Linked DNA regions of Arabidopsis thaliana. The protein of the gene in region 1 interacts with the protein of each later gene in a pairwise test. Each region holds a gene or a part of one and is shown on either strand. Other genes may lie near its edges. The genes, in order: AT1G12630 and SUVR4.

Region 1 (11,271 bases):
TTAAAGATTTGTTCGAATTAAGAGTCTTTCTTCTGACTTAGGCTCTGTTTTTTGTTTTTGCTGGGAGTTGAGAAACAGAGAAGTGAGAAAGAGGGGTATATATAGGCTATGGTTATGGGACCCACAGTATACGAAGTATACGCGCGTAGGACACATGTAATCTTATCCACGAATGCATTTATTAGCTGTTAGCCGTTATAACCTAAAGTTCTGTCTAGAATTTATTAATTGTGTGAGCTTGAACCCACTAATTAATTAAAGAACCCTCTTAAAAAAGTGTTTCTTCTTTTAAACATTGTAGGAGTTAATTTGGCACATTTTATTTAACTGTAGTTTTCGTCATCAGTCTACAAATTCGCAACCTAAGTGCATACGACTGACATATATATACATATATATATTAGTTTTTTCCATACGTTTTACGACTGACATGTAGTATAATTTATAGTTTATAACAGTGTTTCCCTTTGTGGTCTGTTTACCAAATTACGGGATTGGTCTAATATGAATATATGATTATAATCTCACAAGTAAGAGTGCATGGCTTATGGCTATTAGAACTAAAATAAACGAAGAAGTTTCCTGAATTCAACATGACACAAGATGAACAATCTTCTTACAGTTTTAGTCAGATATTAGCTTTTTCATCTTTTTGTTGCAATTTCATTTAAAAAAATACTAAAACTGTATCTTGCAACAAAAAGATGAAATTCAAAACTAGGAAAAGGTTTTCTTACAAAATCAGATTAATTATATAAATTTGACTATCAAAACGTTTACGACAAAATTATTTGATCATCGTTGTTTTTTTGCACGATGGAAGGATATGAAATGTAAAAAAAGAAAAGAAAAAATGAAATGTAGAAATATGAAACGAAAAATGAAAATATATTACATTGGGCAAGAATCATATAGATAATATTTATACCATAAAAATAATCACCTCACTTAAATTTATTGGGTTTTCTGTTCATTTATATACAATCGTTATGTTCGTTTTGATATTTTATGAATGGTGGTGAAATACGATATCAAAATTATCCATTTTCCTCCCATATTTCATCAGTGCCAGCCAATGGTTTTAAAATAAATACCGAGACGAAGAACATTCTTGGAATCTTTTGGTCAAACATAACTATTTGGCTTAGTTTAACTTTTACAAGTTAATAGTATTAAATTCGGGTAGTTGGGTCCAGCTCTACCATGTTGAGATTTTGGGACCAAAATATCCATTTTAATTAGAATCTTATTTCGATATTTGTTTTGTGGATATAACACGTGCCTCATTTCGATACTAAGGAAATTAGCTGTGAGTAACACGTGGGATTTCCGTGGGAACTATTTCTTAGTACTACTACGATAGTACTTGCACATAACATGTGGTGATTAAAACTCATTAAATCCCTCTTTTTATCAAACTAAATTATGAAAGAAAAAACTAAATTATGAAAGAAAAAATAAATCAAACTTTGGTATTAAACAGAAGATAGAAATTACCACATTGATCGTTCAGTTGAAACAGAAAGAATGTGATGCATATCTCGAGATCTATTAGAATACATTAACATGCAAGTTTAATTTATCACATTTTAGTCTCAATTAATTAAAAAAATGAATGTTTAGTGAATTAATGAATTCCTCTAAATTGTAGATGCTCGCTAAAAACCTTTCATGCAAAGTAATAGACGATAGTGACGATGCTGATGTTGAATGTTTGATAACGAGATAGAGTACAGAAAGAAATGTTGAAATTATAAAGTGAAAACTTTAGAGAGACAAGGAGACAACGTCGGCCACAAGAATTAAGGCTTCATGCTGTCTCGTGAGTGTCACATGCGCGTGGCCACAAGAATTAAGGCTAAAGAGTTAAGATTATTTTGTTCAAAAACAAAAAAGATTATATATTTTAGGTGAATACTTTAATGTTCATTATAGCCAATTATATGTATATTCCGTGTATTAGTAATTTGCCGAACTTACTAACTAAACAATTTTTTTTTGGATTATTAACTTTATAAGATATCAAATGATAAACAATCTGTCAAAAAAAAATAAAAGTTATGTCAGCAATGATAATATGCTACGTCAAAAAAAATAAAACAATGTGCAAATTATATACTTCCTAACTAATCCCTCCCAATGCCAACATCTTTGTTGATTTAGTAGACAAACTACGGAAAATTTCTTAAATCATTTCTTTCAACAATTTATGAGCGCAATCCCATCTGCCATTACGACAAAGACCGACTATTACAGAATTACGTGTTTGCTCTTATCCCCTTTCTTTCCATTTTACTTGAAAGTTTCAATGCTTCATCTAGTTGTTGTTTTTGGCAGAGAGAGTGAATGATTGCACTGAACATGATAATTGACACACTACAAAAAAAAAGTATTTTGAATCGCTTATTTTTTATATTTGCATCAATTATAATTGATGCAAATGAGTTTTATATCACTTTTATAAGTGACTCTGAAATTGGTGATGCAAATTATGTGCATCGTTTCAAATAATTTTGCATTAATTGCAAACAATGATGTTAATTTTACACAAATAATATAAATGATATTAGTATTTGCATCAATTTATCAAAATAACGTTAATAATTGTTATGGTAATAATAAGTAATGTTAAGTGTTTATATCAATTATAAATAACTAATGTTAAAATTTGTAAAATCATATTAAATATATATTTAGTAAACAAATTTATTTAATTTTATTAATTAATATAAAAGTAACGATTATATTTGTTTAGTAGAAATAGTTGCTTATTAAACTTTACACTTTGTATACAATAAAAATAGTTGTCTCTTTTTTTCATGGGAGCGATGTGGGACTTTGACAAATTAAGTAACCTATTAAATCGTTTTTTACAATTGATGCTTAATCTTTAATTAACATCATTTGTTATTCATGCAAAAGCAAATTCTTAGGATTGTATCAATTTTTGTGAAAGTGATGCAAATGTTCTAGATTTGTATCAGTTTAAATAAAATGATGCCATATATATCAATAATAGCATTAATCATTGTAACTGATGTTAAATATTTATTTGTATTAATTATAAATAAGTGATTAAAATTAATATCACTAAATTTTTTGACACAAATTATGTGATGTGAATGAGTATTTTTTTTTTTGTTGTGACATCTTCGTTATCATTCTCCATTTTTCTAAGCAACAATATGGCACTTCCATGAAGATCTTGCTTGCAGAGTCCGCTTATAAATGTAGATTTAGTAACTGCATTTGGTTGACAACCCCTTTCAAACATTTGATCAAGTACACCAGGCACTTGAGAAATCATATTACCATTAAGCAGACCTTTAATGACAGTGTTATATGTCACAACATTAGGTTTGTAACCCATAGCTTTCATATTCTTAAACAAAGTTGGTGCATCATAAACAGAAGCATTTTCCTCAAGACAAAAAGGCCTGAGCAACGTGGTAAATGTGAACACATCAGGCTCATGGCCAGCTTTCAACATTCTCGCTAATGTAGACAAAGCAAATCTCAGCTGCGAGCAGTGACAGAAAGCATTTATCAGCAAATTTAGGATGTAGGTATCCTGTTCAATTCCAGCGATTTCCATCGTGTTGCCAAGACGGATCACATGATCATTCTCGGTTCCGATTATATTTTTTTCTTCTAATTTTGTTTTTTGATAGCGATGGTGTGTTTAAGCTACAAATTATATCATTTACCTATACATATTTGTGCAGAATTTAGCAAGTACAATCTGAAAAGCAATGTAGACAGATGAACAGAGTGATAAGGAAATTATGAGCTTGCTTTCATGCCCGGAGAATGGTTATAAATCTTGGTGGTCGATCTGCTTAAGAAAAATGTTGTGTACATCAATGTTGTCACATATGAAACTCCAACTTAGTCTTTCAATGCTCTGAGACGGTAATATGATGTAAACACCAAAATTCTAAGAAAGCATATCCAAAAAGCTTTTCTTCAATCTACCATCCGATAACATATCGACAACCATCTTTACCGTGGAAGCATCAACTGAGAACCCGCACCTCTTTATTTCTTCAATAAGTTTAGCTGATTTGGTTGCATCACCTTCTCCAAGATGTGCCCTGATGAGTATGTTGTATGTACAACCATTTGGCGAATGCCCATCCTCTTCCATTTTTCTAAACAACAGGTCTGCTTCAGACAGTGAGCCTTTCTTACACAGTCCCCCAATCATTATATTGTATGTTTTGACATCGGGCTTCACTCCTTTGAGAGGGAGGCTACAGAATAAATCCCAAGCATCATCCACCTTACTAGCATTGCACATCCCATGAATGATGATGTTATAGATACCAATATCAAGCTCCATCTTACTCTTCTCTATTTTTTCAAATATTTCCAGCGCTTTTTCTGGTTCCCCATTGTCACACAACCCATCGAGCAAAATTTTGTAGGACACAATATCAGGACGAACACGACGAGAAACCATCTCTTGGAAGAGTTCTTTGGCAACTTCAAGTTTTCCCAATTCACAAAATCCTTGGATAAGAGTGTTATAAGTAACCGTATCTGCAACCACTCCTCTCAAAGACATTTTGCGGAAGAGTTCCAAACCATCGTCAATCAGATTAGCCTTACAATATCCATTTATGAGGATATTAAACGTCCTGATATTAGGACCGCATCCTTTGCTAACCATCAGATCCAGCATGTGGTTGGCCTTATCTAGCTGGTTCTCCTTGCAAAACCCATCTATCAAAGAAGTGTACGTAACAGTATCAGGAGATATGCCTCGTTGTATCATCTCCTTGTGCAGTTCTTCAGCCTCTCGAAGCTTTCCCTCTTTCACAAAACAATCTATTAACGCGCTGAAAGCGACCACGTCTGGTGTGATTTTCCTTTTGATCATATCCCTCAGCAACTTGGCACCATCATCCCATCTACCAGCGTAACAAAAGCCTCTAATGAGAGTGGTGTAGATAATAATATCAGCTTTGAACCCTTTGATTTCCATTTCATTGAAAAGGTTGAATGCATTGTCGAGGCTCCCGTCTTTGCACAGACCATCAATGATGATACTGTATTTGACTGCATCGAGCTTGATCTTTCTTTCTTCCATCTTTCTGAGCAACTCCATGGCAAGGGCAGTTTGGCCGGACTTACACATTACTTTTAAAACCGGTCCATAAGTTACTTCATTGGGTTGAAAGCCAGTCTCAACCATTCGATCAATCAAAAGCACAGCATCAGAGACTTTACCGTTGAGACAAAGTCCATTGACCAGAGCGTTAAGCGTTATGAGAGTGGGTTTATGTCCCATTTCAACCATTCGATCAACTAATTCCAGAGCTTCGGAAACTCTACCCTCGAGACATAATCCGTTTATCAAAGTTGAAAATGTGACTGTATCAGGCTCATACCCAAGTTTAATGATCTTCCCCATAGCAGAAAAAGCCAAAGAGAGTTTACGACATCGACAACAGCAATTAATCATAATACTCAGAGTGTAGAGGTTATGCGCAATTCCCTTTAATTCCATTTGCTTGCAGAGATCTAACACTAGATCATATTGCTTTGTTCTGGCAACAACACTAAACAATCTACTGAAATCAATAAGACGAGGACGAGGACGAGACCTAGTCATTTCTTGAAACAGATCAACAGCATCATCTTCCTTGATATCAACAATCCCACTTCTCAATCTCTCTCTATAGGAGACTTTCCCTTTCCCATCACTGACACTAGAAAAGACTCGTCCATAGCAAGACAAGAATAAAGCAGTTCTTAGAGTACCTGTCTCGAGAAGACGTGTCTGAATCAATCCCCGCATGACTCAAGTTAAGAATTTGAAAGCTCTGATTTAAAAAAAAAAAAATTGGAGTCACGTCTTCGGTTTTGTGCTGATTCGTTTGTTCGGCTTCCACAAGCACCAATGTCTGCTCATTACACCTCTTTCACACACAATAAAACAAAAAGATTTAAGCTTTAAGAACTTCTGATTCGGAAATTTCAACAACGATGCTATATATGGGTACCTTGAAAGTGAAAACTTGAAACCTTCCAATTCTAGCGAGTTATCGAAATTGTCGACCCAATTCGCCAACAAGGTGGCACTAAATCTACAGAAAAGAAAACCCAGACACATCGATACGAAGAACGAAGCAATGAGAAACCTGAAATCTTTAGATTCGAGAATGCTTGAAGAACCGGGTTGAATGTACCGGATCAGATAAAACCGGGTTGTCTTTAACCTTCTGTTTCATTCGGAGTTGTTGATAAAATGTTTTTTTTTTCTTCTCCTTTTAATAAAATGAATTTGTTTTTTTTTTTCTTTGTCGACCAGATTAATACTTAATAGGATAGTTTTTTTTTATCGACCACGTTGAACTTCAAAAAGTTTTTTTTTTTTTTGGTTGGTTAGTGGTTACCCAATTTGAAAAAGGACGAATTTATTGGATTGAATTTGATCCTTGAAGATCGAGCTAAACAATTTTACCATAAATTAACTACATCAATAAAAGTAAAAAGAGAAAAATAATGATATATATCGAAGCACACTAAACTTGTTTAAGATGTTGGAGAAAACACTAAACAAGGAGATATTACCAAGTTGACTAATTACACATCTAGATTAAATTCCTGATAATACATCTCCCGTGACAAAAACTTCGATATTGTTCATATCAACGCTTCTGTTTCCGTATGTAAAAGTGAAAGACTTCGTCTTTAACATTCGGTTCCAAGAATCATCACACTATCGTCCACTTGCGAGAAGATCCATCATAATCTCAATGTTGGATATGAACTCTCCCAAGATCCACCATATCTTTGACATTTTATTTTATGAATGTTTTTTTTTTTTGGTTAAGGAGAGGTTAAGGACGTTGATTCGGGCCGAGAAATTGTATTTTATTTTTATGAATGTTTCTCACCAAGATGGCATTTACTACTGTGGGTTTTTAACTTCCTTCCAAGCCAATATTCGTCGAAGCCCGTTGGACACCCTAATTTTGCATTATCGTTCCGGTGGTTTAGCATTTCTAATGTAGCTATAGTTAGTAGGTTAGATTTTACTATTTGTTTAACAGCGATGTTATTATAGTCGATTGTAAAGTATATATATATATATAAGTTTTTCTTAATTTATGTAGTTCAGTCATTTTTCTCTTATATCGGATATGTCTATGTGATCAACTTTGTTTGTGGCATTCTCGTCAACCATTCTTAATGAATTTATATGATAATCAAAACCAAAACAAAATTGAACCTTCGATATGCATCTTTCAACTAATATATGCGTATGCTTCATATGATTAATATAGCTTAAGTATTAACATATATTTCGAAATATATATGTTTATATGCTTTGTATTGATTATATATAGCTTACAGCCTTAAATATTAACTAGTAACTAAACAAGATAACTTATCGGATAAAGTATAAATTATATATATATATATATATATATGTTTTTTTTTTCTTTTTCTTTTCTAAATACGAGATATATATATAGTATAAATTATAGTTTTTTCTTACTCAATTATTATTACAAAAATAACCCCAACAAATGATGACAAAAAAAAAAAAAAACCCCCAACAAGAGCCAACACACTTTCGACAACCCCAAGTGAGAAAGTGAAAGAGAATAACAACTGTGTGTTAAGAAAATATTAGTGAAATAACCCTTTTCTTGATTCATTTCGTATTTGAATATCAATCTCTCACTAAACCCTAACTAATTCAATTATAATCGTCTTTACAGAGATATACAGAACACATATCTATATACTGTTTACCTTTCAGTTCTATATATATGTGGCTGATGGTCACCATATAAATCATACCAAATGTCCCTGATCTTAACCCAAAACTTCTTCATCTTCTTTAATTAGTTTGCCACCTCGCACGTGTGACAAATCCTTCTTCGCCACGTGTGAAAACCCTTCTCCGGCTTGCTACTAATATACGACTAATAGTATGAATAGTTCAATGGCTTCTGCCGGCTTAGGTAGCCGGAGAAAGGATCCGGTGTACAGAGGAATCCGGTGCCGAAGTGGGAAATGGGTCTCCGAGATTCGTGAGCCGAGGAAAACCACGAGAATCTGGCTTGGAACTTACCCCATGGCAGAGATGGCAGCAGCCGCCTATGATGTGGCTGCTATGGCTCTTAAAGGAAGAGAAGCTGTCTTGAACTTCCCTGGATCCGTCGGGTCATACCCGGTTCCTGAATCAACATCCGCAGCAGATATACGAGCCGCTGCGGCAGCCGCAGCAGCAATGAAGGGATGTGAGGAAGGGGAGGAGGAGAAAAAGGCAAAGGAGAAGAAGAGTAGTAGTTCGAAGTCGAGAGCGCGTGAGTGCCACGTAGATAATGATGTTGGATCTTCGTCGTGGTGTGGGACAGAGTTCATGGACGAAGAAGAAGTCTTGAATATGCCTAATCTGCTGGCTAATATGGCAGAAGGGATGATGGTTGCGCCGCCGTCGTGGATGGGTTCTCGGCCGTCGGATGACTCTCCGGAGAATTCAAATGATGAGGACTTGTGGGGCTATTGATCGGTTTGTGTTGTCCACGTACGTATATGTAATCATTATTTGTTCTTGTTGCTTTTTTTTTTTCCGCCCTTAATTATTTCACTTGTATGATATATCAAATCATATGTTTAATGTTTTATTTAAGATTGTTTCTACTTTCTTGTATCGTTGAATTAGGGTTTGCGTTTGGAGTTTTTAGGGTTATCAACTAGGGCTTAATTAGCCTTATAGTGATCCTCCTTTAGTTTCGCGACTTCACGTTTTGATTTCAATTATTACTCTTATTCCTATTTGCATCTTCTTAGTCAAGAATATATTTCATGTTCTTAAGTTTGTTTTTGTTCAATATAAAGATGAGATTATGAATATTTAATATAATAGCTACTCCTTATATACATGAACTAAAAAAAGTCTTTGACATATATATATCTTCAGGTGGAACATAAAAACGGAGGTTTTTTTTTTAAATAACACCGCAATTTAATTCGGCAAAGTTTCATGTTTGTCAATCAAAGATCCAATAAATATGATGAGTATAATATGAATATATGATCTTTGTGGAATTTCTTCTCTTGTTTATTGAGATTAGTCTTTTTCTTATATAACCCATGATCAATTTGTTTCGAGTCTTTTGACTTTCTATGTATCATTTTTTTGCGTTTTTTCTACATACACAACATATATCTATCTATTTTTCGTCACATGTTCGTTGCTCAGATATATATTCGGAAATCCATCCAGCGATCTATATTCCATTTAATTCGTCTCGTAGTGATATATATGTTTTCATATGAATCAATCGATTGATTGATGCTTATTCACACAATGATACATATATTATATTCATCTAGTGTTCCTTTTAAAAAGTTTTGATGTTCCTGAGTTTCCTTTTTTAGATATGTTTTTGTTGTAAAGGTTTTGCCATATATGTATAGACATGAGTGGTGTTTTCTTACTGGGTCATTTTTTGTCGTTTTCTTTAAATTGTGACACTATCTTGCTAATAAAGTGATATATTTTTGTATTAAAATCTTAGTCTTAACTATATACTCCATCTGTTTTACAATTATTGTCATTTTGATAAATTTCATAGAAATTACAAAACTCGTGAAACATTTCATTATGTATTTGTAAATCAAATTAAATAAACTCTTGGTATATTCTAGTTTTTCATTGTAATTTGGTTTTACTTAAGAGTAAGACCATATATTGTGTACTTAACACAAACATTTATTTATATTGAAATATTAAGAAAAAACTTATTTTGAAAAATAGAAACGATGATAAAATGATATTCTGTTTTGAAATGCATAAAGTATCATTTTATCGAATTCAAATATACATATAAGCTTTTAACGTATGGAGAGTAAATAAGAATTCTTACTTGAAACACGAATTAGTAATATTATTTGTGTTAAAATTCTAATTTAAGATATAACGCCAAAACGATGGTGCAAAAGGTTTTAACACCAATGTTTTTACCTGAAACGGACAAAAGAGAGGTTAATAAGAGAGGTGACCATGTGGCTTTTCTTTAATCATATCCGTCACTAAGTTCTATAAACTTTAGCTTTACAACTTTTTAATATTCTATCTAAAATCACACAATATAGTGGTATTTTTTATGAAATTTTTAATGGATTTATATTCTTCAAAAATGGTAAAGGTATTGGTCAGACCAAAGAAATTTGCCTTTTGTTTTAAATTATGTAAACGTCCTATTTATAGTTTTATAAGAAATTTAAGAATTAATTAACTAAAATTAACTCGGCTTGTCTCTTCCGACTAAACATCTGCACTATTTTTTCTTTACAAAATTTCCATTTCCCCAACTCTTTGCCACGTGGCACTATCTCCTCGGATTTGTTTGACCTAAATCCCTTTTTGGTTTTGTTTACAACACCTAGACCCTAAACTGTCTTTATGGTTTTAAAAAATCTATGACCCCTAACATAAAATATCTGTGATCGGTATTATAAGTATACCATACAAACTAAAACATCCATTACAGGGATATCTAGTTCTTTATAAGAATAATAAAGTTCTGTTTTAGTAATTAGAATAACTAAGTTTTTTTTTTTGTGTGTATGGTGTAATTAGAATAACTAAGTTGTGGTTGTCTAGTAGGAAAAAGGTAATTTTGGCGGTTAGACCATATATGCATGGATTCTGATTTCACATATGGCTCGATATCGTGTTAGTAATATTGGTGTAGAAGATGATGTTTCAGGACGTGACGTTCCCCCGCTATCTAAAAAAAAGGGTTAGGTTCCACCGCTCGATCGTGGTAGTGCCGTAGTGCGGGTTCTACATCAATTAACCATACCAAATTGTGGATTCCTATTTGTCAGTTAATTGGCTTGTTATATCGAAAAGCTCGAAAGATTTGTAGTGCAATTACTATGTTAGTTTGAAATTCGTTTGTTTTCTTTGATAACCAGCTGTTGATTTATATTGTAAATATAAAGATTGGTTTCGGACAAATCTTTATACTTGATTTGATGCGATAGTGGTCCACTGCAGATTTGTCTCCCTACGTGTTTTTAATGATAACCCTTCCCTCTTTGGTATGTTTACTCACACTCACACAATGATTAACCATTCTTTTAATTTTAATTAACTCCCATTAATGGCTGTTTGTTTTGAGCATTAGACATTATAATACACTCTCTTTACAGAAGAAATACTTTTCTTTTCTTTTTAATGCTTGTTAACTACACTTTATTCGTTATAGGTTTCTTACAAATCGTTTGGTACTGTCT
Region 2 (13,838 bases), on another chromosome or scaffold:
CGATGTCCATAATAACAAGAGATTCAATTAACCGTGGTTTGTAAAGAAACCAAAGTTCTTCTCTCTTGATTAATTGGAGAATATGAGGTCTTGGTTTCTTTAAGATTGTGATTTATTTTGCTTATTTAAAGTGCCTTCTCCATTTAAAATTGCGGAGATTGCGGAGATTAAAATTGCGGAGATTAAAATTGCGGAGATTAACCTTATTAGAACTTTTACTTATTTACCCATTAACAATCTTAAAGAAAGCCATCGCGTTGAGTGGATTTGGAGATTAATTGCAGATTTGGAATTGAAGATACTCTCGGAAAGGTTTTTTTCTTCGATAAAGTGAGAAAAAAAAAGAAAAAAAGAGAGAAGAGATGGGAAAAGGAGAGAGAAAAGATGACCGATGGAAAAAATGTAGTTAAAGGGTAAATAAGTAAAATAATTTATCTAAAGTGTCTTCTCCATTTAAAGTGTTTTAAAGAGTCTAATCACGTAATATTCTCTTAGTCTAATGGGGTTTGGACTTAAAACATAAAAGTGACATGCTGCACGTAAGATGTAGACTAAAAGTCTAAAATAGAAGCATCTTCATTTGATATTATCCTTGCTTTCTCTTGTTGAGAACCTGAAATCTTTTGGGGGTATTAGGTAGGACTTAAAAAGACTCGATGTTGATTGCTATGTCAATGAAAACTTGACCATTTTATTAGTTGTATAGTGTATGAAATGAAATTATCCAACTTTGTCTTCTCGAACCACTTCTCATTATATCACAAATTCACCGGTTTTATATATTGGGGCACACATACAATAGGGAAAATTTACAAAAAAAGATAGACATGACATTCATACAACTTGTTCTTCTATAACCACTCACTATATCACAAGAGTACTCACTACTCACAGTCACAAGGTTACAAAACAAGAGAGACATAACTTTTCTACAAATTTGGAAAAGTACTAAACGGTGTTCTTGGTCTCATCTATTGTTATCATGTTCTTGAGATAGAAGAAGATTGGTGAATTTTCTTGACTAATCTTTGTATCATCGTGTAAACGAAACTTGCTCTTTTCTTCTTGATCTTCTCTTGACCCAATTTATGCTCTCAAATCTCAGTCCCTTGACCCAGAGCTTGGCTCACCTGGAATATTTTGAAAGAATCAACAATTTGAATTTCTTTAATCTGGTTCCAATGTTGTGAGTGGTGAAAACAAAGTAACATGATTAGCATTAAAAGTAAAAGTAAATAATAAATCTCACCTCTTGAGTTAATGACACTAACTAGATTGTTGAGTCAGGAGATTGTTGAGTTTTGATTAGGCCTATCTGACGATTTGAGCCAGCAAGACTGTCCCAAGTGCTTGGAGTTTCAATAGAATTCTGTGATATCAACCGAAATTATAGCTTTGTGAGGTGAAATCTGAAACAGAGGATTATAAAGGTGAACATAGTAGAATTTAGCTTACTGTTTTTGGAGATAGTAAATCAGAATCATTATCATCACTGCTACAATCACTGAAGACACCAGTTAATGAGTTTGGAGGTCTGTAATCATTGCGATTATCTTGCATAAACATGATATTCCTCTGTTTATCATCATCATTCAACCATGTTTCCCATTCCTCTCTTGGTATAGCATCCTCTCGATTTGAGCATCTTGACGCACATCAAGAAACCCACTAAACCAACTTGGTATAGCATTCTCGACTATGCTAATGACTTACATCGACATGGCTCGTGTCACCATCGAAATTTGTTGGCCGGAGGTAATGGTCGACGATCTCCTCTTTGGTCGGACGGAATCTGAAACCCACCGGATTCACCATTTTTCGAGAGTGAATAAAGTTTCAGTTTTAAAAAAAATGGAGAGAAAAAGAGGGATCAGAAGTATTTCGCCATTGTTGCTATTATGCAAGTTCTTTTGGTAGGAGGGAGAAGACGGATATATACACAATTTTCCTATTATTCATGAAATATTGAAAAACAGATTCCCAAATCCACAATTGACTTGCTAATATAAGAGTTATATACAAATTTTTAGGCTCTACTTAAGTCTGTTCACACAATTGATTCGCCCTAAACATATTTCTAATTGCGTAACAAAATAGTGTGAATCACTTGAATTCTATGTTTTTTAAAACAAAACCGAACAAACACAAGAACCAGTGAATCAAATCACAAGTTTACGATAGACTAAAACACTGAGGTGACAAACTGGCACGAGAAACGAAGGTTCTTATAAGAACTAGAATCAGCTTTAAGGCATAACAAAAGTCTAAGACAAAAACAAAAAACAATCCCAAATAGAGATAATGCTAAACGTTCAACACAAAACATAGAGATCTCAAGCTTGCTTAAACGATGGCGTTCGCAGCACTTGCGATTCTTGGCCACAGATCAGCACACTCCTTTCCGATTGGTCCAGTGATAGCAGATCCTAATTACATCACACAACAGACTCATCAGCTACAAGTAAATATGATACTACTGATTTATCACTACGAGATTGGCTTTGAGTTGCCCCATATCAAACTTCTAGATAAATTCAGATACACAATACTTCCTCTAGTAACTACTAACTCATCAGGAGGTTATCAAAACTTGCATACATAAACAACTCATACATCTACCAGAGAATTCAATAACAAATAAGCAAAAACATCAACTTCTTACCTTTCATTTCACCCTTGGGATTGACAATGACACCAGCATTATCTGCAAAACCAAAACTTTCTATCAGACAATCACACTTCAGAGAAATTGAAATGCAAATCACAGAGAAGAAAAGCAAAGGATTACCTTCGAAATACATGAAGACACCGTCCTTTCGGCGCCAAGGCTTCCTCTGCCTAACAATGACAGCAGGAAGCACCTTCTTACGGAGATCAGGCTTACCTTTCTTAACAGTAGCCATAACCATATCACCAACACACGCTGATGGCAAACGGTTAAGACGACCCTTGATTCCTTTAACCGAAATGATGTAAAGGTTCTTAGCTCCGGTGTTGTCAGCACAGTTCACAGTGGCTGCCACTGGAAGACCCAGTGACATCCTGAACTTGTTACCAGAGGTTCCTCCTCTTCCTATTCACAAAAAACAAACACAAAAGTTACAGATCTAAACACTATCAACCAAAGTAGAGACATATAAGACTAATATTCATGATCCAGAAGCTTTACTAATAGAAATTAGGGTAAAACCATTGTCATTGAAAGTGAAATGAAGAAAATAAGCGAAAACAGGATATGATTCATACGAGATGTACACAGATTAGGTTAAGCGAATTAGAGATGAAGAAACGTTTTTTTACCTCGCTTCGACATGGTTGCAGAGTAGCAGCTCTCTCCTTGAAAGAGTTTCAATGGCAGCGCCGAGAGGGTTTATATACGCTTGAACTAGGGTTTTCTTCATGTATTGTGAGCTGACCTGGACTTTATTTTATGGGCCGAAATAATTTAACAATAAGCCCAATAATGTTCTCTTTCTTTTCTCATCATCTTTTTTTTGGAAATCATCTTAGGCCCAATATATCATAAAGGATTTTGAATTTTTTTATTTTTTTTATCAAAAAGGATTTTGAATGTAAAATTTGATCGGCTAGCAACATACAGAGATGGACATTTTTGTCTCCACCAAAATCACAACTGTAATCATCTTCTCAAAACCAAAAATAAAAAAGTAAAGTGTTGCATGTATCTATCTTTATCTGTTGATAAATTAGGATTGCTATTTTCAGTTGCAAGTTAAAACAATCGTAGAAGCTTTTTACATGGTTTTGATGAAATGACAATTGATTTCGGTTCGGGTTTGAAATTACATGTGATTTCTGTTTGGTTTAGATGGTTTTGAAATAAAAATTAATTTTGGTTCGGTTTGCATTAGAATTAATACGGTTTTGAGAAAAAAAACAAAAGAAAAAAGTCACTCGAGGCTGTTTTGGAAACAAAGCGAGTAGATGTAAAATAGGCATGATTTTGTGGGTTTACCCCTACAGAAATCGACGACACGCGTTCAACGCGAGGTTGGTGCGAGTGGGCATGGAATGGAGCGCGTGGCGCGAGGTTGGTGCGAGTGGGCGAAGTCCGGAGCGCTCTGATTGGCTGAAAAAATAGAAATAATGTTGATGTAGCTCCTCCTCTCCTCCTCTATTATTAATTTTTCGTCATTCTTCAGTTCTGAAAGTTGTCTGGTTTTAAGATGCAATGAAATCTTATTCTATAACCTTTTAAAAAAACGAATATATCTAATTATATAACCTTAAAAAAAAAAAGAATATATCTAATTATATAACCTTGTTCTAATTATTAAGTCCTCCTTCAATCTATTAGATTATTCGTTTTTTTTTAGATTATGAAATAAATTATTTTATTCTTATTATTACTTTTTCAAAATTTTATGTTTGTTGAAACAACAGTAGTTTACATAGCAATACAGATACAAGGGTATTTTCGTCATTTTCCAAAACGACATAGTTTTCAGGAGCTGAGGGAGGATGAGGATGATAAATTGATAATAATAAGAATGAAACATAAAATTTGTATGTTTTTGGTTATTTTGAAATCATTGATTAATGTCACACAAAAAAAAAATAGAATGGATTTTGAGATAATAAAATTTTCATTTTCATTTTGTTCTGCAGACATTGAAAACTAGATTCAGCTGAGCCCTTAAGAAATCAAAGTGAGTTGAATATTTTTCTAAAAATGTGAAAATTGGTAAAAGTTTGTCCTCATTTTGCTAGAAAAAGGATTCACTTTAAAGTTAAAAGAATAATATAAAGCTTGTTTGGAAATCTCAGCATTGCACTACCGTTGCTTGCAAATCTAGAATCTGGATTTTAAGATACTTCCGGTGCTCTTGTTCATGTTTGCACCAATGGGACTGTTTTGGTGACACATGGAGGTGTTGAAATGGGTTAAGGATATGCATACAAAGGTTGCTGCAGCGGCCTTTAACATTCCCCTTAGTTCGGTTTTTGTGTCAGAAACAAGCACATACAAGGTACCTCTAACTCGGTTACATGTACTCTGTGGACTTTGGCCAAGACAAAACTGTTATTGTTCTCTCTTATCATTTTTGTCGTCTCTTAATAGGTTCCAAATGCCTCACAAACTTTTATTGCTCTCTTGTCGTTTTGATTGCCTCTTAATAGGTTCCTAATGCGTCACCTACTGCTGCTTCTGCGAGCTCTGATATGTATGGTCCTGCAGTTTTAGACGATGTTAAGCATATTATAGCAAAATTGGAGCCTGTTACATCTAAACACAATTTCAACACCATTCGCTGAGGGTAGCTTTCGAAGAGCTCAAGTGGGGAGATGCAGCTCATACATGGATTAAACCATGAGCTTTACTCACTTGCGGACCTGGAAACTAAAAAATACCTTAAGAAGATGCTTTACTCACAACATTCCCTTTCTCTTCTCAAGGTATGCAACCATAAGAAGAAGCACTTCTGAATTGGTAGAAACAAATTTGGAACTGATGAACCTAGGATTATACTTTGTTTAATCCGAATAGAAATGTTGGTCAAAGTCATATATGTAAGTAACTTCCAGTCTCCAGTACATGTAACATTACAAAGATATAGGTTTCTTCAAATCAGTAACTTCTTGGAGAAAAAAAAACAAAGAATGTAAAATTTGATAGTTCCAAAAAAACTAGCAACAATGTATAAATAAAAATATAAAATATGTAAATAATTCTTCTATGATGACCAAAATAAACCAATAAATTACAACTTCTAAGTCTAAATATTAAAATTTTGTTTAACATTACAAATCATTGATGCGATGGATCACTCTTGGCTGAATTTACCAGTGATGGGCTCCTTTTCGATCCAGTCTTTACGCTCTAGAACTCTATTAAAAAAGGTTTATTTATTTTGACATATGCCATGAAATTTGAAGAACAGAACTAAACAGTGAGTTTCTTTGGTTAGGCAACATAACACTTTTTTTTACCTAAAGAAGAGATTGTAAATGAGAAAAAACTGCAGACCATAAAAGTTGTATATGTCATCAAGAAGGAAAAGCTAGTTGAATCATGCAGAGCTCGCGATGGATCATAGTGTTTTGTGAGCTCATGCTTTCTTTAATGTTTAACTCTAAATAATGACCAGTCTCATTTGCGCTTTTTAGACACCTCTTTGGAACCTGCATTTTAAGAATTGGCGGTTGTTACCTCAACGACTGAATCATACACTTTAGAGAAATTCTAAAGGATCTCAAGCTTTAGGCAGGGATAATTGATGCTAAGCCTCTAAGGTTATATCATCTTAGACATTCTTTCTCACCTTGTTGTTTTTTAGCAGAAACAATCTTTCTTCTCTCTATAGACTTGCCTTGAGATCCTGACATGACATATCACCGGAATGCATAATTAGCCAAGAAATATAGTTTCTCTTTTTTTGGTGGCATCATTTCATTTCTGTGAATCAATGTACTTTGCCAAATCATATTTTTGGCTCGGATCTCATACGAAACTACACAAAATCTAACTTAGAATGTGTAAGCAAACGAAGGAAGTAAGCCAGCATTCTGTCACAAAGGTTTGAACAACAAAAGCAATGTGTAAAGAAAACTGACCTTTTATTTTTCTGTCTCTGCATGATTCGCTTCCGCAGCAACATCTAAATGCCTTTACAGGATGACTTTTATCATTGAAGTCTATCATGTAATCCTGCGATTAGAAACACAGGTTTTTTGAATTGAGTATCTGTACAACTCAAGAGAGGATAACGTTATGGGACCAGTAGAAAGACGTGTTTGGTTCCATCTCTCTATTGATGAAGTCATCTACAAACACACCAGAGATCTAGAATGGCAAAATCATCAGAATGCTCTAATCTAATAGCTTTAGTGCAATATCCACAGTAAGAGCGCAAAACTTCTTTAGCCATGTGAGTATTTGTAACTATGTGGTCAATACAAAGTAGTTAAAACTAAGGTAGCTTAATCATGGTGCTTACCCATGTCAACTCATCCATGGCCTTCACGTCTCGTAGGGTAAAAAAAGCAATCTGCACATGACCAAACCCAGACTCCTTAAGCTCACTGAAATTTACTTTCACAATCACTGCTTTCCGGAAGATCAGGTTAGAGTGGAGAAAACAGATACTTACATGATAATAATGTCTGTCAGGCGTCTCTATCTCTATCGGAATATCAATCATGTTTGCATCCTCGCATCTGCATCAACAAAAGTTCACAAGAACCATAAACTCTCAAGGGAAGCACGAAAAAATCATAGCACAACGAGCGTTGATTAATACCTGTGATTGATAAACCTTGCGACATTTCCACAGATTGTGGCATCCAGGCAGAGAGCTTCTTCATCTTTTAGATCCTTTTCAGAACCCCAGTCTGCATCCAGAGTTACAGGATATGTATGTCGTTCACTACTAGACCTAACATTCCGATCGTATAACTCCGTGTTGGTCAATATTTCACCAATGTATTCACAGATAAAGGTTCCTTTGGGCAAGTCTTGCAGTGTTCTAAGACCCCATCCTTTCCCTTCTTGAGTAAAGTAAACCTGAAACAATATATTTTGCTCGTCAAACAAATGAAAGGAGAAAATAATAATTCAAAAAAAACGGGGAGAAAATCATAGAAATAGTTCAAAATTATGAGGGTGCCAGACATCAAGCCAAGAAGCTATATAGAAGACTAATTTAAAATAGGATGGTCAGCATATAAGATTGAATGTAGTATCCTAGAAATGTAACCTGCAGTTGGCACCTTATCCCTCTCTGTACTACTCGATTTCCACACTGCATATCACATCCACACTTTCTCCAGCATTCCTTGATGAACTTTCGGATTAAGTGTCCATCACATTTTCCATATGTGCCCTTATCGTGATCTCTCTCCAAAGGGCAGTCTTTGCAGTAAACTTTAGGGAACGAATCTGGTTCCTTTTTCATCTTAAGACAGGTGTCCAGAAACTTTTCCTTTAGCAGCCCTTCTTTGGTATAAGCATATTCTCCACTGGTTTCACGAGCACAAGTGCAAGGAAAGTCAGCTGAAAGACAGTTCCCTTTGCAGTTTGCGCAGCAATCTTCATCAGAGATTCGAGCCAGAGACACGTGGAGATAAGCACTTTGGTAAACAATGTTGTGAGGGATGTAAGTAAACTTTGGCACAGCTTCACTCCCAACATCATCGACAAGAGGGATTTTAACGCTCTCTGAACCTTTAGTTATGTCAGCAATTCTGCTTTTATATTTCCTCTTGCGATCACCATTACTAAGCTGTGGCTGCTTCTGGACTACCTGAATGGAGGAACCTGAGGATGCAGAACGGGTTTCGTAAGTTTTTTTCAGAGTAGCAGGAGAGTCAATGACCTTAAGATTCTTCCCTCTATTACCATTAGATGAACCTTCACTTTGCTTATTCTCATCCTCAACAGAATAAATAGCGTCGACCAGTGCAGTATAGTTATCCAACTTTATATACGACCAATTGCCACCAGCCTCTTCTAGGAGCTTCATAAGCACTGGCATTGTCTTTTCATCGGGAATATCCAATTGCCTTGTTCTCTCTAAAGCTTTGAGTACCTTCTCGTCTTTATTGGTGAGCATCGCTTGTTGCATATCGAGATCACTTTCAACAGAACCTGCAAATACACACTAAATATCTTAATTGGTAAAAAATGCCAAATTACTAGTTTTCTAGTGATAAAATATAATCTGGTTCATATGTATGAAACTGCTAATCACCAAAGTAAAGACACATCAATGCATCAGCTATCCTTAAAGATCTGCGAATTTTGAATAAACCCAATCCTTATCAACAATCATCCAAAAATCTCACCAATCAAGAACCCTAAAAACAGATTTATGCCAATTCCAAACAAAACAAAAACGGCGATCTCATCAAATCGACAAAGACAGATTCCAACATTTTTCAAAATTTCAAGCTTAAACCGTTCTGCAACTCGCGGAGTAAGAACCCACATTGATCAACACAATAAGAAAAGAGAATGCATGAGAAAAGCAAAGAGAATGCGTAACATACAAACAAAAAACCTTACTGGTTAGTCCGGAGAGACTGATCATACAGAACAATCGGAAGCTTCTCGAATCCAGCCGCCGCCGGCTAAAAAACACAATTGTGGAAGAAGACGGCGAATGATTGCATGCAAAGAGTTCGAACTTTCTGTGAAAGCTTACGAAATTAATAAATTAATCAATTTTCGAATTGATAAATACCCTAAAACAGATCCATTTTAAACACACTTTTCCACAGTATCTCTGTTTCACTGCGTCGTGCGTGAGTATACATACAATTGTTTATAGATTTTGTTTTTCCGTCGTGGACAGATTTATTTCCAGATTTATTTCCATGATTGTGTAGGTCCATTAAAATAGGCCCATTGACTAAAAAGCACAGCATAATTAAATAAAAGTTATGGGCTATAACGTGATATGTATTAGTTCTGGGGGTTACAAAACATAAATATATAATCTTCTTACTTCAAACGTCGTACTGTAGTTATTTTTTTTTTTTGTTAAAGCAAACGTCGTAGTTATTAAAGGATGTTATATAACTTTTAGGGCAAATAGTTACATGATTAATTACGTATCCTACCACTTTTATTTCCACAATCGAAAAATGGAAAGAAGGAGGTTTTCCTTGGTTGGTAGAACAAATACAAGGAACAGAATTATTTTCCCAACATCTCTCTGATCATGTACCCTTCAACAATCTGCAATAGGATAATTAATTAGTCAATTCAATTTTGTATGTACATAATTAAATAGTTAGAACATTTGTGTAAGAACTTCATAAACATGGGATCTATATAATTATAAGTTTCTAATATTTTCGTTTATAATTAGCATGTTTCGTTTATATTAGCATGTCTCTACATTATAATGTTTTCAAATTAAAAAAAAATAGAGTAAAACGATATCAAATCTAATAGTAATAACTTACCATCTCCTTTTTTCCGCAAGCTTTTTAGGAACATAAAAAAGATAGCAACAAAGACCAATGCCGCTACTCCTCCTACAACAATCGCCAACGACTTCCCCGTGTTTACTTTTGAACCTTCTTCTGTCAAAAGAAACAATTCGCAACTTAAGTACATAATCAACTGATATTTGTTTTGGTTCAGTTTTCTTTAATAACTGTACGTACCGTGGTATGAATCATTGGGAAGTTCATGTGGGTGATATGTATAACCGACGTGGCACCCTTCTAAGTATATTTGTCCGGCTATGGACCACCGACACTCTTCTGCTGCTGCTGCCGCGGCTGAACTTATGCACTCGCCGCAATCGCAAGCTTCAACGTGGCCGTCGCATTGAGCCACAACGTGGAGGAGCTTGTAGCTATCCTCATAGAATCCGTGACCGTCAACAACTCCTGTTTCGGCTGCAGTGAGTGCCTCCGTCCTCATCTCTTCGAATCCGGGGAAAGTCTCCGCGGTAGCTCCATCGCATATCTTGTGGATGAGACCGTGTTCCGGGGTCTCAAATAACTTGTACTTGTGATGATTATTAACTTCTTCCAAAAATAACAAGAATCATATTTATTTTACGTAATGAATCGTTTACTTTAATGTGAATTCAACTTAATTTGTTTATCACTATCCTTCAATTTTTCTCGCGAGTGGAAAATTTATATACCTAAGAAATAATATATTTTTTGATAAAAGTATAAGAAATTTTACTATAAGACCAAATAAGTAAGAAATTTTCCAACCATTTTTTTCTGTACACGATTTTATGATTTTTTGTCAACAACAAAGATGAATACTTACGAGCGCCAGGGGTATCAATACGTTCGAATTTGTATATCAAATGACATCCTCGAAGATGAATACGAGCTGACGTGGCATTTCCACACGATCTAGACGAAATTTCACGAAGATCACCAACACATTTATGGCAGATCTCACTCGGATAATCTTCTCTGCATTGGAACCATCCAGAGACAGCGTGTTTTTCGTTACCAACTAGAGTCTTCAAGAATTTAGATCGAGAGGATTCTGATTCGAGTTTGCGTAAGAAAGAAGAAAGGGCTTGTGCACGAAGAAAGAGATTCTGATTCGAGTAATTTGGAGATTTTGTTGTTGCTTTTTGGAGGATGTTTGCGTCCAATGGATCGCATTGTTTGAAAACAAGAGTGTCGTAATCAAGTTGAGAAGTGTTGATGATAGAGGGAAGAGACAGAATGATTAGGGCTAGGGTTTGTGTGAGGAGAGAGATCAAGTGGACAACCATGTTTGAGTCAAAACTACAGGGAAGAGAGATATATTTTTAATTCATTGAATATATACATTGGTGAATGGAGAGGGAAGTTGTGGTAGATTAGATTTTGTCTACGTATGTCTACCACTTGTCTACATATGTTAAAGATTTAGTTGTGACTTAGGAGGTCGTCAAGCGCACGTGCTAAGCACACCAACGATTTCTTGATCTTTTCTTCTTGTTGGTATGAATATGATCCTAGAGGTTAGTTTAACAATTTTCTAATGATTTTATGTATAGTGAAACAGTAATATTATTCACAATTTGTGGAACTGGCTGATCCAAAATATGTTAAAAATGACATTCGGCTACTAGCGGAGGTCTGATTCTTAGCCTAACCCTTATTCAATTCTTTTAATACTACTAGTGTTGGTTTGAAGTAAGAGAATAATAATGTACGTAAATGTATGTAATTTGAAAGTAAGAAAAGCTTTCGATGAAGTCTTAGACAGTAACAAACTAACAAACATATCCGCTCAACTAAATTTACCTAACAAATTTCCATAGTTTTCAACCAAGATTTAAATTAAAAATACACTGGAAATTCTAAACAACCCTAAATTATGTTTTTTTTTTGTTGTGTGAGAGCGAAATAGTCGGAATTAGAGTAAGACCAATCAAATTTTAAATATTTATCGTAACTTTTATTTCAAGTTGCTTTATATGATGTCTTGAATCTCAATTGCCTTGCCAAGAAAAACAAGCGCTGACATATATAAAAAGCCTAAAATTACAGAAGAAAAATACAAAGAGCTAGAAGAAAAAGAAATTCCCCTGTTCTTCCGTAAATATCGTTAATTCGTTATGACAGAGTTTCATTCTCTTTGACTAGATCTTTATTTTTTTCTTTACACCGATACAAGTCAAAACTCTTAACAAACAAATATTTAGATCAACATAGACCAAAGAGTCAAAGAAATAATGTCTGTCTCCATAAAGTCTCCAACTTTTATAACAAATTTTCCGTTGAATATGACAGTAAATAAACCAACGGTCTAGTTCTTATCATGTCTAAAAACCACAAGCTCCTTCCTCATCTTACGCTCCCCTCTTTACCTCTCCTTTTATTCTCCTTCTCATTCTCCTCTCAACAACTGATCGTATAATCATTCTCACGGAGACGAGTGACCAAAACAAGGTCTCCCGCTTCTTGCGAAGATTAAACGAATCCATTTAGATTTTAAAAACCACACAAAAAAAATATGGGTCGGCTCAAGTTCGCATGTCCGGTTCTTGAGATCAATTTAATCTCAGCTCAAGACTTAGCCCCTGTCTCAAGAAACATGAAAACGTATTCCGTCGCTTGGATCAACACCGATCCTATGAGAAAACTCACCACGCGTGTTGATCAATCCAACAGAGCTAACCCTATATGGAACGAGAAGTTTGTGTTTCGTGTCAACGACAAGATTCTCTACGTTGACGCATCAGCGATTGTGATTGAGATCTACGCAGCGGCTTGGGCTAAAGATGCTCTTGTTGGTACTGTGAATGTTCTTCTCAGCGATCTTTTTGCTCCTTGGTCTGGTTTTGGTGATGGTAACGACGGTGGTGGTGGGAATAACAACATGAGGCTTGTGACTCTTCAGATTCGTCGTCCTTCAGGGAGGCTACAAGGGTTTTTACGTCTCGGTGTTGCACTTCTTGACGGTGGTCAACGGAGTATGCCTTTATCTATTGAGGTTTTCGATGGAAGTCGAAAAGGAGAGAGGAATAGTGTTAAAAGAGACCAAGAGGCTTCAAGAATGATGCATCGCCGTACGAATAGCGATCAAACGGATTTAACCACGTCTACGAATGATTACGGTGTGAAAACAGGGGTTGTTACTGGCAATGGAGGAGGAGGTGGTGGTGGTGGCGGTATTGTTGTTGGTGCGGATAGTATGGTTAATGGTTCGCTTTGTAGCTCTGATATTGGACCATCAGCGTCTGTGGTTGCGGCTGCGATTGCGCAAGGGCTTTACAATAGACAGAAAACAGCGGTTAAAGCGGCTAACAAAGAGGACGCAAGTTCGATACTTGAAGGGAAAACAGAGGGAATTGAGCATAGAGTTGAACGGTGGAGAGCAGAGAAAAATGGCACGGGTGGAGCGGGTGGAGCGGCTGGATCAAGCGATGATTCTAGCGGGAAAGGAGGAGCGGGAAGGAGAAGAAGGAGGAGGAGAAGAAAGGAGAAACAACAAGGGAGGAGAAACGGTGGAGGAGAGGGTAAGAAAGGGTTGTTTTCATGTTTTGGAAACGTGTTTGGATGTGAGATTTCGATAACATGTGGCGGTGGAAGCGGCGGAGAAGGAGACAGCACAAAGAAGAGATATAATAACAATAAAGTAGTAAATCTTAGTGCTGTAGACGAAACGTTTAGTCATTCTGCGACTTGAGATAAGAGAAAATGTTTACTTATTTTTGGTTTCTTTTGGTGGTGTAAAACGTTTGATGATGGGTTAAACCATACAGATTTGAAAGTATTGAGGTTAAAACGTATGAATAAACTTTCCCGTTACATTTCTGGTAAATGGACTAATTTGAATATTTGTATAATACTGGGGTTATTGTGAAAAGCTTTTAAAGAAAGGGAAAAGAAAAGAGAGC

What was found.
Region 2: the proteins of AT1G12630 (region 1) and SUVR4 interact in a two-hybrid assay, tested with the Arabidopsis thaliana proteins (one large-scale study listed by BioGRID).

Annotation. Positions count from the first base shown.
Region 1 is NC_003070.9:4,290,946-4,302,216, forward strand, and holds AT1G12630 (Integrase-type DNA-binding superfamily protein), read left to right. Parts: upstream 1-7,720; 5' UTR 7,721-7,951; coding exon 7,952-8,530; 3' UTR 8,531-8,626; downstream 8,627-11,271. Other genes in the region: AT1G12615 (pentatricopeptide (PPR) repeat protein), read right to left, coding at 3,110-3,595; AT1G12620 (Pentatricopeptide repeat (PPR) superfamily protein), read right to left, coding at 3,938-5,803.
Region 2 is NC_003074.8:1,156,814-1,170,651, reverse strand, and holds SUVR4 (SET-domain containing protein lysine methyltransferase family protein), read right to left. Parts: upstream 9,287-13,838; 5' UTR 9,051-9,286; coding exon 9,026-9,050; exon of another isoform or gene 9,010-9,025; intron 8,622-9,009; exon of another isoform or gene 8,609-8,621; coding exon 7,719-8,608; intron 7,526-7,718; coding exon 7,263-7,525; intron 7,180-7,262; coding exon 7,113-7,179; intron 7,011-7,112; coding exon 6,960-7,010; intron 6,671-6,959; coding exon 6,577-6,670; intron 6,342-6,576; coding exon 6,285-6,341; coding exon of another isoform or gene 6,262-6,284; exon of another isoform or gene 6,196-6,261; intron 6,145-6,195; coding exon 6,113-6,144; 3' UTR 5,675-6,112; downstream 1-5,674. Other genes in the region: AT3G04410 (NAC (No Apical Meristem) domain transcriptional regulator superfamily protein), read right to left, coding at 1,447-1,575, 1,714-1,815; emb2171 (Ribosomal protein L14p/L23e family protein), read right to left, coding at 2,344-2,426, 2,663-2,704, 2,789-3,073, 3,301-3,313; AT3G04390 (Aldehyde oxidase/xanthine dehydrogenase, molybdopterin binding protein), read left to right, coding at 4,887-4,991, 5,143-5,277; PDLP4 (plasmodesmata-located protein 4), read right to left, coding at 9,693-9,700, 9,931-10,050, 10,135-10,503, 10,760-11,222; AT3G04360 (Calcium-dependent lipid-binding (CaLB domain) family protein), read left to right, coding at 12,452-13,627. UniProt on the Arabidopsis thaliana protein: Histone methyltransferase that converts monomethylated 'Lys-9' of histone H3 (H3K9me1) to dimethylated 'Lys-9' (H3K9me2) in the absence of bound ubiquitin, and to trimethylated 'Lys-9' (H3K9me3) in the presence of bound ubiquitin.